Linked DNA regions of Nothobranchius furzeri. The protein of the gene in region 2 purifies or fractionates together with the protein of the main gene of each other region. This does not show direct contact. Links are inferred from orthologs where the notes say so. Each region holds a gene or a part of one and is shown on either strand. Other genes may lie near its edges.

Region 1 (5,101 bases), on a different chromosome or scaffold from region 2:
TTGAATGCCTGTTAATTCAAATTTTATAGTCTTAAGTGTGGCTTTTCTTCTAATATTATAATTGAGGTGTACACCTTTTTGCAACATGGGCTTGAAAGGATTTGTTAGGAAAATCACTTTTTGTCTGTGAAAATTAATAAATCTCGTTTGGTCCACATTTGTGGGAGTATTTTGTATAGTACCTCGTAAAAAATGTTGATTCTAAAAGGAGACTAAAGGTTTTCTGTCACATGTAGTGGGGTGTGCTCATTTATGCTGAGCACTGTATGTATACTCTAAAACATTTCAAACGTTAATTAATCCATAATTTTTAATGGTTTTACACCAATGATAGTTGTTTTTATCCGTTACTGTCTCGTGGCATTAGATAATGAACGGAATTCTTGGATTTCATCCAAATTGTCATTCCCAAGTGAAGTTGCTAATTTAGTCTTCTTTATTTTGTTTATCGCTGACATAAACACTCCTGATTTGTGTCGGGTTGAGCTTTTCACTTTCGACTCACATGGCAAAGGTTGTAATAGTTAACAAGCAGCATGCTTGTTCTCAATATTGGATCACAACAATCCAACAAGTTTATTATTTCCTGATTTTTGACTAGAGTGGCCAGACGCTCTTCTGAGCAGACCAGACAACTCTTAGGAGTCTTTGCAGAATAGAAAAATAGAGTTTTTTTTTTTTTTATAAAAGAGACTCAACACTTTTCTACATGGCTGTTTTTGTTGGATTAAATGGACATCCACAGTCTGAAAATACTATCTATGACACACAGCATCACATCATCTGCATAAAGACACATTTCGAAACAAAGTCTTACTTTTTCTGTGAAAGTCAGGTTTCTGTGAGATTTCTGTTCTGACCCGAGTGAAACCAGTTCATATCAGGTGTGTTGACCCCATCTTTTAGTTCTTTTTAAAACACAGAAAGGTTTTATTTACCTGCAACGTTTCGTTTGCAGCTGCAAACCTTTCTGTGTTTTAAAAAGAACTAAAAGATGGAATTAGAATTTCAACACAGCAAGAACACACCAAAGAGGTGTGTTGAGTGTCTTATGGCTGGACACCACTCACTGCAGGACCAAAACTGGTGTATCCTTGATTTTCTTTATCACTATGTGTGGGATCACTCTTGTTTGGAACATTTTTCACCATTTTAAAATCTTGTTGTGTAGATCAAGCCTTAGAAAAAAATACGAACTTAAGATATTTCTAAGAACTTTGTACTAGTTAAACTCTTGTGACCTGAACATCATTTCTATCCTGGTGAACCAGACCAAATTCCTGCTTTGCAAAGTTTGGTCTGGGAATGCTCCATTGGAACCTCTGCAGCCCCTAGCAGCATTCTGGCAGGCCAATCATTGCTCTCTATAGGGGTTTCGAACCAATAGAGCACTGTGATTGGTCCATAATGGTACAACAGTGGACTGCCTTGTTTACCGACATCTCTTGCCGTGAGTATGCCACGTTGTTCGTTGTTCAGTAGCATGCGGAGATCGTTTGAAAGACAACGGTAGAAACCACCCTACGACTGAGAATCGTCAATGGAGCGTTGCCAGACTAAGTAATATATTTATTCATTCTGGCTAGCCAGACTACATCATTTCAGCTGGTCACTACTCATTAGATTATGCTTCATCCTCCTTCTCTTCCTTTTCTTCTCCAGTCTCAGGTCATGCTAAGGCCGTAAGGAGCTACATCCTAACTTGTGCAAGGTGCATTAGCTTGGAATCTCTTCATTTCCAAAGCATACCCTGCTTGCTTCCTCTTGCCAACATATCCCCCTCTTCATGACAATCAACCTTCACATTTTCTATAGGACCTCTGGTTTTTAATGGCTCTATTTGTCTTTTTTTTTTCATTTTTAAAAATAATTCCTGAGGCTGTTCTGATAACTAGTTATAACTCATCCACTCACCAGGACTGAATATGTGAATGAACACTTCAGCTAGCAAGAAGCCAGAAAACAGAAACAGCTGCTTAAAGAGCAAGTCACCCCCTACAATTTACTAACTCCACTCCCACTTCATGTTTGAAAAATGCAACAAATGCTGTTGCCTGGCAGACCGAGAGGGTGGAGCCGCTAACAAATACACACACACACACACACACACACACACACACACACACACACACACACACACACACACACACACACACACACACACACACACACACACACACAGGCTCACAATGGCATTGTGACATCATAATGTACCAGCTAACATCATAGCATACCTCTTAGCCAATAGCGGTGGCAGATTTAAATTCAGATACAGTGCAGAGTTTTTCCCTGACGACAGCGGAACACTGACAGTTTTAGGCAGAATATTAAAATTTTAGCTAAGATGCACTGAAGTGCCAAATTATTGACTACGCGTGTCTGCAGCACAATTAGACACTCGTTTATATAGTTTATCAGCAAAAAAAGTTGATTTGGTGGTGACTTGCTCTTTAAACTCTGATTCAGTCAGAACAGATATATTCTTAAATACAGACATAAATAAGATAAGAGATCTGACATTTTGTCAGTCTTTGAGTGATTTTAGTCTAGTTTCTGCTTTCCAGGAAGTTAGATCCACCAGAGGCAACAGCTCCATCTGGAGTGTCTGCAGAAACAAACAGCCTGGATAGCAGCTTCAGGCACCAAATCAACAGTCAACTTCACTCGTGTTTAAAATCAGTTTTTTGAATTCTACCTTTTAAAAGTTAAAGCAATACATTAGCAGCGTTGTAGAAATAAGACTTATTAATGGATTTTGCATTTCTAGACCAGCACTCATAGGAGATAGAGAATTAGATTTGTGTGCAAAGGTGAAAGAAAAGCTGATAAATTGCATTTTCTGTCCATAATATTTTTTAACTTCTTACCTCAAGTCACAGTGTTAGCATAGGGTTGGGCATCGAGAATCAGCATCGATTGGAACCGGTTCCAACTGTTCATCATTTTTCCCGGAATCGCTCAATGTTTTTTATTTCAATTCCTAGTTTTGATTCCCAGTATTTCGACGGAAGAGGAGTCCGCGGCCGATCTTCGTGAAAAATAAACGTGATCTCGTGACTCATGTTTTATTACTGAGCTCTGTTGTGGCTTTTTTATGAACATGTGACAATCAGCTGAAACTGTTGAGAAAAATCTGTTCAAACAAAATAACAAGATGTTCAGAAAGTTTAGAAGCCTGTGTTCATCATTAACGAACCGCATCTCAGGTCATCTGCGTTTATGTGCTTTTAACACGGACTTTACTGTCGTCCAGAATATTTAACCGAGGACGTTTTCCTACCCAACACCAGCCTCCAATCAGGTTTGTAAAACCCCTATTATCCTGTCTTCTTTACAAGCGCGTCTTCATCACCTGCTGCAGAAGCTGCTGCGTTCAAAGCTGACAGAAACGGGGATCCGTGCGCTGCAACCCCTGCAATAAACCTGCGCATTTCCAGTACAGATTTGAACATGTTTGTCGAAAGATTTGTGCAATAATCAGGTTTTTATTTTTCCTTCAACAAAATGCAAGTTCTGAATTAAATATTAATGAAACGGGGACGGCTTGTCATCGGATTTAAAAGCCGCCGCCGCTCGTTAATTACACCGTCATTTTTGAAGTCAGGCAGTCCAAATGACAGCAGAGAGGTCCACTCGCTGTTGCACACATGCGCAGTGGGCATTATTTTACCCCAACAATCCGAATGGCTGTGTGCATGCACGTCAATCGGAATGATGAACACAATAAACCACCTCTCTCAGTCGGATTGAATCGGATCAGAATATTCCGATTGACATGTTTACATGCAGAATTTTCAATCTGATTGGGCGTTCAATCCGATTAAATATGCACATGTAAACATGGCAGTTGTGCTGCAAGTCTTTCTTTTTTTCTCCAAAACACATTTTTGTCTAAATGAAGGTGATGTTAATTGTTCATAAAATTAAAATTCATGTTGAAGTTAAGATTATTTCATCAAGTAGGACCTGTGGTTAGCTGGCTCATGCAAAACATGTCATGTCTTCAAATAATCGGAATCGGGAATCGATCGGAACCGGAATCGAAACGAGAAATTGGAATTGGAATCGGAATCGTTCAAAATCAATCAATGCCCAACCCTAGCCACAAAGTCACCTCTTTGGACACCATCTCATTCATTTCCTACTCATCCCACCAATGCTGCCGTTTCTTCTTTATTGTGCATCAGAGCTGGAGTATTGATTTAGCAGGGCCAGGAGCTCACACACCAGTTGGACTACCTCCATACAAATCGATCCCTGCCAGCTTTTTGTTGTCTGCCACATGAAATCAGAGACTGACAACCATCAGATCTGAGTGCTGCGCCCAAAGAGAGAAAGCTGGATATAGAAATGGAGAACACTTCAGCTGCTTGAAGCAAGAAAAGAGACAACGCATGTAGAAACAAATATGACAGTTTTCAGCTGAAAATAAAGTTAGATTTATGCCCATTTTCATGAATTTTGCAAAATGCAACCTGACTGCCTTGTATTTATTCATCATAACTGTTACTATTAGCATAACTTGTAATTATTCTGTACCAAAAAAGGTTTTATTAACGGCAGACAGAAATAAATGTATATATTCTAACTGGATTTCAGCTAAATGAAATTCTATTATCAGTCACTGTTTCACAGCTTGAACCTCAGCTTGTTTAAAAGCAAACATTAATCTCTTGTGCCACTTTCAGCTCTGAACTGGGCTAAGTGTTTGTCCTTCTATGCGTTGGTTATAATCTAATTCAGGCTGATGTGTGGTGGTTTCCATCATGACCTGCAGTACCAGAAGGAGAACATGACTTATTGTTATTATTATCGTGTTCGGTGTTCGTTGTGAGGAAATTAGATCACTTTAGCAAATGCAATCAGTATGCAAACACAGCAGCACAAAATGAAATAAGTTGCATCAGGCAGAAAGGCAACTACGAAATGTTTAGGGGAATGGGTTAAATAACAGCTGTGTGTGAATTTAAAATAGGAAAATCAAAGATTTCTAGCTTCATTGATTTCATAAATATCACTTTGCATAATAATAGAAAATTTTATGCACATATGTAAGATTAAGCATAAATTGATCTAATTTCTAATTTACATCTAACCAGAT
Region 2 (5,216 bases):
CTCGTCCTCCCTCAGCCAGCACAGCATCTCAGGGTGTGTGTAGCATCCACTCTTCTCCACTCCTGGTCCCTCTGCAGCCACGCCTCCTGTCGTCATCTATCGCCTCCACCTCCCCTCCCTTGGCTGGCTAATCTAATTTCCTCCCGACAGATTTTCTTCTCTATTTCTTTTGTTGGCTTCGTCTAAAATATTGTTTTTCAATTGTGTCTTCCTGAAAAAGTCCTTTCAATTACACTTTCACCAATTCTCAGCCATAAAATAGCCTGTGAACAATAGCAATGATGCCACACCTAGCTGGCTAACAAAACAGTGAGTCGGGGCAATTAATGGTCTAGCTAAATTACAGTAAGAAATAAAAATATGAGGAGGAAATTTTAAAAAGGGAAAGAGGACAGGACTGTGTGAAAGAAAAATTCATTAATTAGTTAGTAACTCAGGAATCACACACTACAGCTAGTCATCTGAGAACAAAAGCAACGATTTATCATGCTGTCAGTCATCAGACTACAGACTTTATGGGCAAAAGACGTTAAAAGAACAAAAACATATAAGCATATCTAACCCAGAGCACGGCCATCCAAATGGTTCATTCCATATGTTTGCGTCATGTCCCACTTGTCCAAAAAACATAATAATCCTCAAAAAGTAGATTCAAGAAATCTCATAAAGTAAAATTAAACAAGTGCTCATCAGGAGAAGGGAGGTAACTGGGGTTTTCCTGGACTCTTCAGGCTTGATGGGAGAGAAAACACTGCTGCTCCTGCTGCTTTCATGATGCTGTTTGCTGTGATGATGAAGCAGAGTTACACAGCGGAAGGATGAATCAGATGGCTGCTACTGCACCTGCCTGCAGGGACAAAGGGGGAGGGGGGTTAACAGGGCTGAACCAGTCGGTGTGAAAAATCCTGGTGCCTGGAGCCCATCAGCCCATGGACTGAGCAGCACCAAACAGACAGCAACAATGGCTTCGTCAAAACTCAGTGGGGATGATCAAACCATGTTTAAATGTATGCTACAAAGCAAACCTTTTTTTAGGATCTCTTTTCAGCATTTCACTGCTGATTCTGGGCCATGACTGGTCACCTAAGCCTTTAAACCATGTTTTCATTCAGTGCATCTGAAGGCCCTCTCCTGGTCCTGCTCCATGTTTTCACAAGTGCAAAACTAGAGGAGGGCCCGAGCATCTCTCAGGGCCACATCCTCCTGGGACTGATGAGAGTGCAGCAATTAGCCTGAGACATCTGCTCTCATCACTTATTCTGGGTTAGCTGGGCCCACAATAATATCCAGCATCAGAACTACTGCAGCTGCCACACATTATCCCAGGAAAGGCTTCATTTGAACTCATCCATTAGCACAACAAAGGGCTGATTTCATACATGAAAATTAATGTGTTGCTGTGTAAACCCTTTGTCATCTTTAAACAACAAATATAGTGCAAAAAACAGAAATATGAGTTGATATAATGAGAGAAAAGAAAAGAGACGCGGGAAATAAACAGGTAAATAGACGAGATTTTTTTATAAACGTTTTTAACTATAAGGAAACAACAAAATTCCATTAGCAATACAAAAAACACACATATTTTTAATCAAGTCGCACCTCCAACAAGTTATTAAAATAGAAAAGAGCAGAACCTTAGTGTGTCAGATATATTAATTAATTTTACGGAGAGGGAAAAAAAGGAAAAGAAGGGAACACAATAAAATCACGAAAAAAAATAATCCTAACAAACCTCAAGGAGGAGCTATTTTTCTTTTCTTGTCAAAACGAGGAAAAAGAAATTCAAGAAAAGTAGGCTGACCCACGAACGTATGAAGCCTAGTAGCAACGGGACTCTTCAACAATTTCAAAGATTTTTATATAAATACACGAGAAAGGAGTCCCGAGGAGGCGGAAGTGTGGAACATCCACAGCATCTGATTGGATGATGTTGATGTCGTCAGCGGAAGTCCGGTTCACCTCGCGCCAGGGCGGGAAGAGAAGCTCTTGTTGTGTTAGCAAACGAGCAGAAGATTCCGTCCAAACTAGCTGTTTCCTGAAGCTAAAGTAGCATTGAGTCTTGTTAGACATTCTCACGTTGGCAGCGAAATCATCTGGTAAAAGCTGGTCTCTATGATACTTTTGTTTACATCCAGGAATTGTGTCTTATTAGCTGGCTAACCTGCGTCATGTTTTATTCCGCGACTAAACTGAGAGGTTTGACGACTGTTGTGGTAAATGTATGCAGAAACGTACTTCGTCTTTTCACGTGGAGTCACGGTGGAGCAGCCATCAGTAAAAGCATATATTTTGTAACTGTTTGCATCACCACGCATGCTTCGCTTCTTGGTTTTGCTCCTCTGATAGATGAGCATCGCTGACTAATTCGTTTAATAAATCATAATAAGTCATGTCAACCGCTCAGGAATAAATATTATTTATTCTAATGAATATCTGTGTAAAACCAACAAAATGTTTCACCTTTATAATCAAGATATTTTTATACCGTTTCATTCTTCCCTCGTGATATGGATTCTCAAAAACAAATGGATGACTACATATAATCCACAGCTTCTTATTCATTTTATGTTATTACATTTTTAAACATCCTTTTCAATGGAGTCGCCATGAAGAGGCAGCAAAAGTTAGTTACACAATTATTCCTTTACACAGTTAAAATTATATAAAAATATTAATTGCATTGTAATTTTTTCTTCCCTTTTAAAGTGCAGAAAGGAAAGGACAAGCTGTATATTCTGTACAGAAAATAAACTCAAGTACTCAGTCTTCATCAGAACTATGCAGCGCTCACAAGTTAAACTGACCACCACATCTTAGTTTAATATCAAGTCCTTTTGAGAAGGTAGATCTGTCTTCATTCATGGGAAAGAATAAAACTGAGTTCACGCAGGCAGCCCCGCCTATTTTAATTATTCTGGTGCAGAGTCCATAGCCTGACCACCTTATATACAACATGGACATATATGCATAGCCAAATCCTCTTGTTACAGCTATGGTGTGTTTAGATTTCTAGGCTAGAATCTTCATGGAGTTGTTACAAACATTCAAAACTTCTAATAATCACTTTTAAAATTGCTGACATGACTTGAACTTCAGTACCCATGACTGGCGCATTATTTAAACAATAACACATTTTATTTATTTTCTCACAAATTATTTGTGTGTGTTGAGTACTCATATTTGTGCACTTCTGGTCTCTCAGATTTTCTGAAACTCCGGAAGAGTCATGCAGACCTTTTTCAACAGAGCAAGTGTCCAGACGAGCAGACCTCAGAAAGACAAGGCAGCAGAGAAGAGCGCTAAGGCTGTCCCCTGGGTGGAAAAATAGTAAGTAATAGTAAGTGTAAATCAAAAAGGTGAATCTGTTTTACTGGAACACTGAGCTGCTGATGGTTCTGGATAGGACTGGGCGATATGACCTCAAATCAATTTCATGAAATATTGAGGATTTCACCTACATAATAATTAAGGCTGCACAATATATCGTAAATATATTGTTATCGCGATATCAGCATGCACAATATGCATATCGCAAAGAACAGATAAATATCGTAATGAATGGTCAGCTCAAATGTTTGCTACACATTATGCATTCTGTCAATCAAACGAAAGAATTAGGTTTTTTTAACAAATCAAATAGAGCTCTTCACCCATTTGTCCAATTGGGTGGGTTGTCATAGGTTAGAGTCCCGCCCCCAAGGCGGACGGCCCTTATTTTTGATGGTTAGCAAACACCTGAGTTAGCTTAGTTCTGCTCTTTCTGCTGATTCTGCTTTTCCCGGGATCCACTGATTGCTTTTCCTTGTTTATTTTCTTTTCCCCTTTCTTTTTCACATTTTTGCTTATCTCATTTGTTTAACTTTCTTTTATTTCTTTGTTTTTAGTTCCTGAGTTCAGTTTTTATTATCGCAAGTAATGTCGTCATCGCAATATTAATCACTGTTATCGAATATCGCAGGTTTTCCTAATATCGTGCAGCCCTAATAATAATGATAAATGGACGATAACTACAGGTATGCGCAGAAACAAATGTTGTCCATTAGATGGGGCTGTCACATGTATTAGTTGAGTCACATTTTTGTCTGACTCAAGGTGGTACTGCTTCTTAACTCATTCACTGCCACTGACGACTAAAGTCGTCATTTTAGATTTAGACTGCTTTAACATTTAGCAGTGCTATAAATACTCACTGCTTTTCCTCCTTGGGAGCCTTTTTTCCTCAAAAATCAAAACGGTTAAATTATTATAGCTGGAAAGAAATATTAATCTTTGCCAAAAATTCTTATTGGAGGGATTTGTTTAAAATGTGTTGCACTTTTAGATCTTACCTCATTCACTGCCATTGACAACTAAAGTCGTCATTTACATTTTTTTTTTTTTACTGTTTGGGCATCGGAACGAGCCCCCGCGCCGAGAGAACAAACATCTCAGCTCTAAAGCCGATCCTCATCCGCATACATCACACGTCACATGATCAGGAAGCAGAAAATCCATGTGTTAGGAGATCCTTTTGGGCCGTTCCGGTAAAAAAAAAAAAGTGAGGCGCGAACCAGAAAAGCTTCTGCCGATCACAATTCAACAACGGATTATGAAAGAACAGATAACGCTCGAAACACGCAGATTCTTCCTGATGTAAGAGGTGAGTCTACTCTTTGTTTTGGTTGTTTTGGCGTCGACATCATCCTTACGTGCAACGTTCTGTGACTCTTAAAAAACAGTAAAAACGGTGAGAAACGCTGGCAGCAAATGAGTTAAAGGGGCATAAACATCACCAACCCACACATATCTTTTCATTTTTTTTAAATTATCAAATTTGTTGACATGGGAAAATGTATCTCTAAGAGTCAGACATTTTGATAACAATACATTTTCTATTTATTGCCCAGCCCTAGTTCTGGATCTGTGCTAGCCTCCAGATCTCCTGTTCTAAACGGATGAAGAGACATCAAACATGTCACAACTACACGTGATTTTGTTTTCCATCTAAAGAATTATGTAGGTCTCCATTTGTTTGAGGCTTTAGAAATCAGACACTTCTATCAGAAACCACTGACTCTAAAAAAACAAGAGTTTCTGAACAGCTGTTGTAAGAGGCTAACTCTCTACTCATATTCCTTTTATCGCTATACAGTTCTTCATTTAGTCAGATATTTTAAGATGATCTGAAAAATACTATCTGAGCTATGAGAGGGAAAATGACCATCAATAGTTAA
Region 3 (5,174 bases), on a different chromosome or scaffold from region 2:
CCCCCGTCAGCACAAACACACAGCCCTCCAGACAGTTCTCTGCACCCTGAGAAACGCAACATTTTCTTAAGCTGCCTCCAGAGCCCATCTCAGCCAAACCACCTCTTATCACCAACAAAGCAGCCGTGCAGCTCTGCTCCAACCTTTGGGATGTCCTTGGACCCCAGCGCTCGTGGCCCTTCTCTGTTGAGATAGTTCCTGTAAGCTGAAGAGTGCAGCTTCTTCTTCTCTGCATCGTCAGGACTTGTGTTCTGATGGGAAAACAGAGGAAAACCATTTTCTTTTACTGGTTTCCACACAGCAGCCCTTCCTGACCTGTGCAGCTGAGGCTCACCTCAAGTTTCTTGGGAGATTTTTTCAGTTCTGTTGGCGTCACTTCTGGTTTTGGTGTGATCTTGTCTGAAGTTGGAGATGTCTTTGGCTCCTTTATGGGAGAACTTTTATTTCTCATGGATGTTTTCCTCGTCGGTCCTTCCTTCTTCTCCTCGTCTCTCTTCTTCATCATGGCCACTTTGGAGCAGACCGTGACTGGGGTGTTTCTGGGCGATGGACTGATCACATCGCTGCTCTGACTGGTCTTCAGCGGGCTGCTTGATGCGCTGACAGAACCTGTGCGGTTCTTTTGGGGCGTTGTGCTCAGACCTGGTTGTTCCTCTGAGCTTTTGCGAGCCTGGGCAGGAGAATAAATAAAACAGTGAGATTTTACCTGAAAAAGATAACACGCTACATAATCATGGTTCTCATTACTTTCTTAGCCTGCGGCTCTGCATCCAGCATGGCCAGAGTTCTAGCAAACCCCTCGTCCTCATGGATCTGTTTTTCCAACTGAATCAAAAATAATAATAAAAAAAATTGTTATTGTGGGAAAAAAAGGTCAAAAGACTCTGAACAATTCTGATGACTAAATATTTTAATTTTTAATCTTTTTTTTTATTTAAAATAAAACAAAATCACAGATTTACAACAAAATACCAAACCAGGTGGTTTTGTGAGGAAACTAGATTATTGTACAGAAAGGCAGCATGTGCCATCACATTCACACGTCTGGAAACCGCCTCAGTGACAGAACTGTCTCTGAACAGACTTCAGATCCATTTACCTCCCTCACTTCTTCCATCTGCAGCTGCCGAGCCATTTCTTCATCACTGATCAGGTCATCCAAGTCGTGGGTCGGCTAAAGAACAAGAGTTTTTACGAGTTATGTATGTATTTAGCAAACATGAAAAGAAATTAAAAAGAAGTCAAGAGGAAGAAATGGGGATGGTTTGTCGGAACTCACTGTCTTGCGTTTGGTGCTTGCTACCAGCTTCTTGTCGGAGCGGTGAATCGTCCCGCTGCCAAAGAAGTCGAGTACGGAAGTGGGGGTCTGTTTGGGTGGAGGTGGGGCGGACTTGGGAGTTGTAGGCCCAGGAAGACTTTTCAGACCAGGTTTACCTTGACTGGGAGACTTCACTCGCTCTTTGCTTTCTGCACAAGCATGTTCTGGTTCGGACTTTGTGCTTTTGGCAGTGCCGTTCTGTTTGGGTTTGGAGTCTTTCTTCAAGGACAGGAAGTTGTCGCTGTCGGAGTCTACAAACAAAAAAAATCCATTCTCTAACTGGAAATCTACATTTTTGAAGACTGATCCCGGAACAACAGAACAGTAAATCGGAATGAGACGAGAGTGTCACCTGTTTCAGAGACATACTGAACAGGATCCTTTTTAGGAGGTGGTGCCGTTTTACTGGTTGTTGCTTTTGACTTGATCACAGGCTCCAGCTCTTCCTCAGAGTCTGAACAAAACAAGTGAGGAATCGTCTTTAAAATAAAAATATATTTTAGAAAGGAATAGATTTATCATGGAGTTTACAAGCAATTTAATCTTTTTTCATGGTAAGAATTCCTGATTAAACAAGAATTACATAAATTATTAATATTATTGTGTAACATGAAAGTTTTTTTTTCATTTATTTTATAAGAAATTTAATTAGCGGCAATGTAATGTCAGAAGTCTAGCAGCAGTGATAAAATAAATAACAGACTGAGGCGAAGTTGCTGCTATAAAATGTGGAATGGAGCTTGCAAACATGCAGAGAGTCAATATTTGGGAAGCTAAAGAAATAAATGTTAAATCTACCGACTTAGACCTGAAGCTTACCCGACTCGATCACTGCATGCTTCTTTCGTTTTTTCCCACCACCCTTGTGGTGCTCTTCTTTCTTGGAGTTTTTGATCTAAAAAAAAATAAAACGTTCAAAATAAAATCAAAGAAGAAGAAGAGAGATATTTTCTATAGCACCTCTCAAGATAAAAATCACGAGGCGCTTCACAAAAACAAAAAATGTAAAAATATACAAAAATATTTTAGAAAATGATTGAAAATATATTTAAAATGAGCAAAAAATAGACAAATTGTGATTAAAAATGTAAAGAAAGAGAGGGAGAGTGGATAGGAACGAGGGAAATCAGTGGATCCTGAGGAAGGTGGAATAGGTGGGGAGAGCAGAGCTGTTTTTTAAAGGTGAGATGTAAGATGAGGGATGGAGTTATTTTTATTTGTTTGTGATCAGTTGAGATCAGAAGTTAATGAGTCCTTGCCTTTGTGCTCTTTTTCTTTTTTTCATTTTCATCTGAAGATGCTGAATTATTTTTCTTCTTCACGGTTGATTTGGCGTTTCCAGGCAGGGCTGGCTTCTGCACCACCGGCTTACCTGACACTGGTCCAAAGAATCGCCTGATGTCCTGTAAAACACACACACACACACACAGTTGATGACACTGGAACACATTCATCCACACAAGCTGGAGGGTATTTATTCAACCCTAAAGACTTACTCTCAAACGTATTCCTTCAGTTTTGATTTGAAAGACAGTCTGAACCAGCGGTTACATGTAAACTTGCCTCAATTTTAATTACTAACCGAATCATGTACACGACGCCGTTTACAGCATGACACGTTTCTAGTAAAGATTAAATACAAACTTGCTAATCTGCTGTTTAGCTGCAGCAAACTGTGCGAGGAACTGAAAGCAGCGTAACGACATGACTGACGGTTATTATTTTTGCTTTAGTTGTTTACATTTCTATCTGCAGCTTCTCGCGTGTGCGAATTAAATGTTGTAACGTTTAACATACCATTCGGGACAGCTTCTGTAGGTTTGTTGACAGAAATTTAAGAAACTCCTTGAACTGCTTGGCGCGAAGCAGTAATCTGTTCAGTCGCCGGGAGATGACGTAGCAAAATCTGGTTGGCCTGCGTCAGTGCAACTTTATGTAAACACACAACAACAAAAAAAACTTTATGGAAGCACGCGCCTCTTATCTTGCCTCCGGCGGGACAAGAAGACTAACCTACATTTAGAAATGGTTATTCATCATTCACAACAAATGGCACATTTATAAACATACGCTTTTTAAAGCCTTTTTACGTTTTTATTGAGGTCAAATACTAATCACACACCGTCCACAGCACCTCAGGTGGTTAGATCAACTATTCGGTATCTTCATTTCTAATATTCTTTCCCCTCCATGTTGCATATTTATATTTCTAACCTTTTATTTAACGGTTGGTTTATTGACAAGGTTAGGTGTGAATGCTTCACCTTTAGTTGCTAGATTTGCAAAAAATAAAAATAACTTACCAGATGTAGAAACTTGGCCTGGTGAACTAGACCAAATTCTTGCATTGCAAAGTTAATATATATATTTGTCTGGTTTACCAAACCGTCATATTGAAAAAAATACTACACATCAGGTGGAGTAGGGCTAGATTACAAATACTTATATGCTTCTTTTTCATAGCCTATAAAACCCACATTTAGCATAAGGGCAGTGGACTTTAAAACAACTAGATTTGCTTATTACTCCAATATCTTTTATGATACCAATACTTCAAACTGTACACAAACAGAATGAAGCTGTAATGGAAAATAGTAGAGTAATGTGGGCTAAATAAATTGCTTTAAAAGCTATGTATTACTTGTGACCAATAGCTGTAATACTCTTTTAATTATAGAATATCACCTTGCTTGGTCTTAGGATGATTAATTAGAAGGTTCTAGGATTCTTTTAATTATTAAGGGATCGTTCACACTTCGTTTATGATTCAAGAACCAGTCAGTGTTTGCAAACAAATAAGAGTTTATTTTACAAACAATTAAGACTTGACAAATGGTTTATCCTGTGAGTGGATGGAACTAAAAGATGGGTGTCTGAAATCTATGTGTGAATATGAGATGATGAATCAGAATCTCTGTATCTTCAGAGAGGTGCGTTCTGGTTTACATTTAAGCTATAAGCTGTTATTTATCCAACTGCATACAGATGCTGTGTGCCTACATTACCGTAGAGGCACCCTCTTGGTGGATCCAAAAGTCAGAGTGGTCGGATGACCGCTGGCACCGGAGGGCTGTAGAGTACAGAGGTGCCGTCCTTTCAGTCCTAGAGATGTGTCTCGGGTCACGACAGATGGATGGAAACCACGCGTCTTAAAATAACTCTGAAGGATTTCAGCAGTCAGCTTTGTTCTGCAGGAAAACTAGTTGTTCTCATCTTCACAGGTGCGAAAAAGGTGTAAGGTTTTGACGTGTCAAAATCCTTTTGGTTAAAAAAGGCTGTAGCTAAAGATGGCCAGTCTAAAGCTTTGCTCTCCAACCCTCGAACCGTTGCTGTTCGAACTCTTGTCTAAGGGTGGAAGCATAGCGGCTGGTTTTTATAGACCGCTGTTATCTATTACCAAAGTTAGCAAAAATCTCAAACACACCCGCCTACTTGATAGAGCCCCTGAGTCTGGGTGAAAGGTTAATCTGTGTCACGCATTAATCTTTACTCTGTCTGGTGTGAGCACATGGTGATGACCTCACCTAGTAAACACTACTAAACCTTGAATAGATTCATGACATTTCATTGCTTATAATAAAAGTTCATAATGACTTTTTTTAATTATAAGATCTTTTCTTTTGGAGAATAAAAAGTTTATCTAAAGAGTTCTCTTGTGAGGAAATTTGGGGACAGGAATGCTACTGTTCATTATTATCTGATGAAGCTGCGGTCCCGCTGATGAAGGCTTTGATTAAAGAGACTGTGTGCAGACACAAGACTCCTTTCAGCCAGGGTTAGATGACCTAATCCCAAAATCAGGCCACTTCATGACGTTACAAAGCCAACACTCAATTCAGCTCAGTTTAATCAGGTG

Evidence for each region. The genes of interacting proteins can lie anywhere in the genome.
Region 1: the proteins of rfc4 (region 2) and atad5a purify together in Homo sapiens (affinity purification with mass spectrometry; 5 studies listed by BioGRID and IntAct, counting the BioPlex papers as one, with this or other methods). This does not show direct contact. The link is inferred for Nothobranchius furzeri from reciprocal best matches to the Homo sapiens genes RFC4 and ATAD5.
Region 3: the proteins of rfc4 (region 2) and rfc1 fractionate together in Homo sapiens (co-fractionation; 7 studies listed by BioGRID and IntAct, counting the BioPlex papers as one, with this or other methods). This does not show direct contact. The link is inferred for Nothobranchius furzeri from reciprocal best matches to the Homo sapiens genes RFC4 and RFC1.

What each region holds. Positions count from the first base shown.
Region 1 is NC_091752.1:53,827,290-53,832,390, reverse strand, and holds the start of atad5a (ATPase family AAA domain-containing protein 5), read right to left. Parts: upstream 3,225-5,101; 5' UTR 2,868-3,224; intron 1-2,867. UniProt on the Homo sapiens protein: Has an important role in DNA replication and in maintaining genome integrity during replication stress.
Region 2 is NC_091756.1:57,700,702-57,705,917, forward strand, and holds the start of rfc4 (replication factor C subunit 4), read left to right. Parts: upstream 1-1,961; 5' UTR 1,962-2,099; intron 2,100-3,205; 5' UTR 3,206-3,229; coding exon 3,230-3,330; intron 3,331-5,216. UniProt on the Homo sapiens protein: Subunit of the replication factor C (RFC) complex which acts during elongation of primed DNA templates by DNA polymerases delta and epsilon, and is necessary for ATP-dependent loading of proliferating cell nuclear antigen (PCNA) onto primed DNA.
Region 3 is NC_091747.1:79,309,056-79,314,229, reverse strand, and holds the start of rfc1 (replication factor C subunit 1), read right to left. Parts: upstream 3,225-5,174; 5' UTR 3,119-3,224; coding exon 3,116-3,118; intron 2,722-3,115; coding exon 2,578-2,721; intron 2,214-2,577; coding exon 2,138-2,213; intron 1,773-2,137; coding exon 1,671-1,772; intron 1,570-1,670; coding exon 1,280-1,569; intron 1,175-1,279; coding exon 1,100-1,174; intron 826-1,099; coding exon 748-825; intron 671-747; coding exon 335-670; intron 252-334; coding exon 144-251; intron 47-143; coding exon 1-46. UniProt on the Homo sapiens protein: Subunit of the replication factor C (RFC) complex which acts during elongation of primed DNA templates by DNA polymerases delta and epsilon, and is necessary for ATP-dependent loading of proliferating cell nuclear antigen (PCNA) onto primed DNA.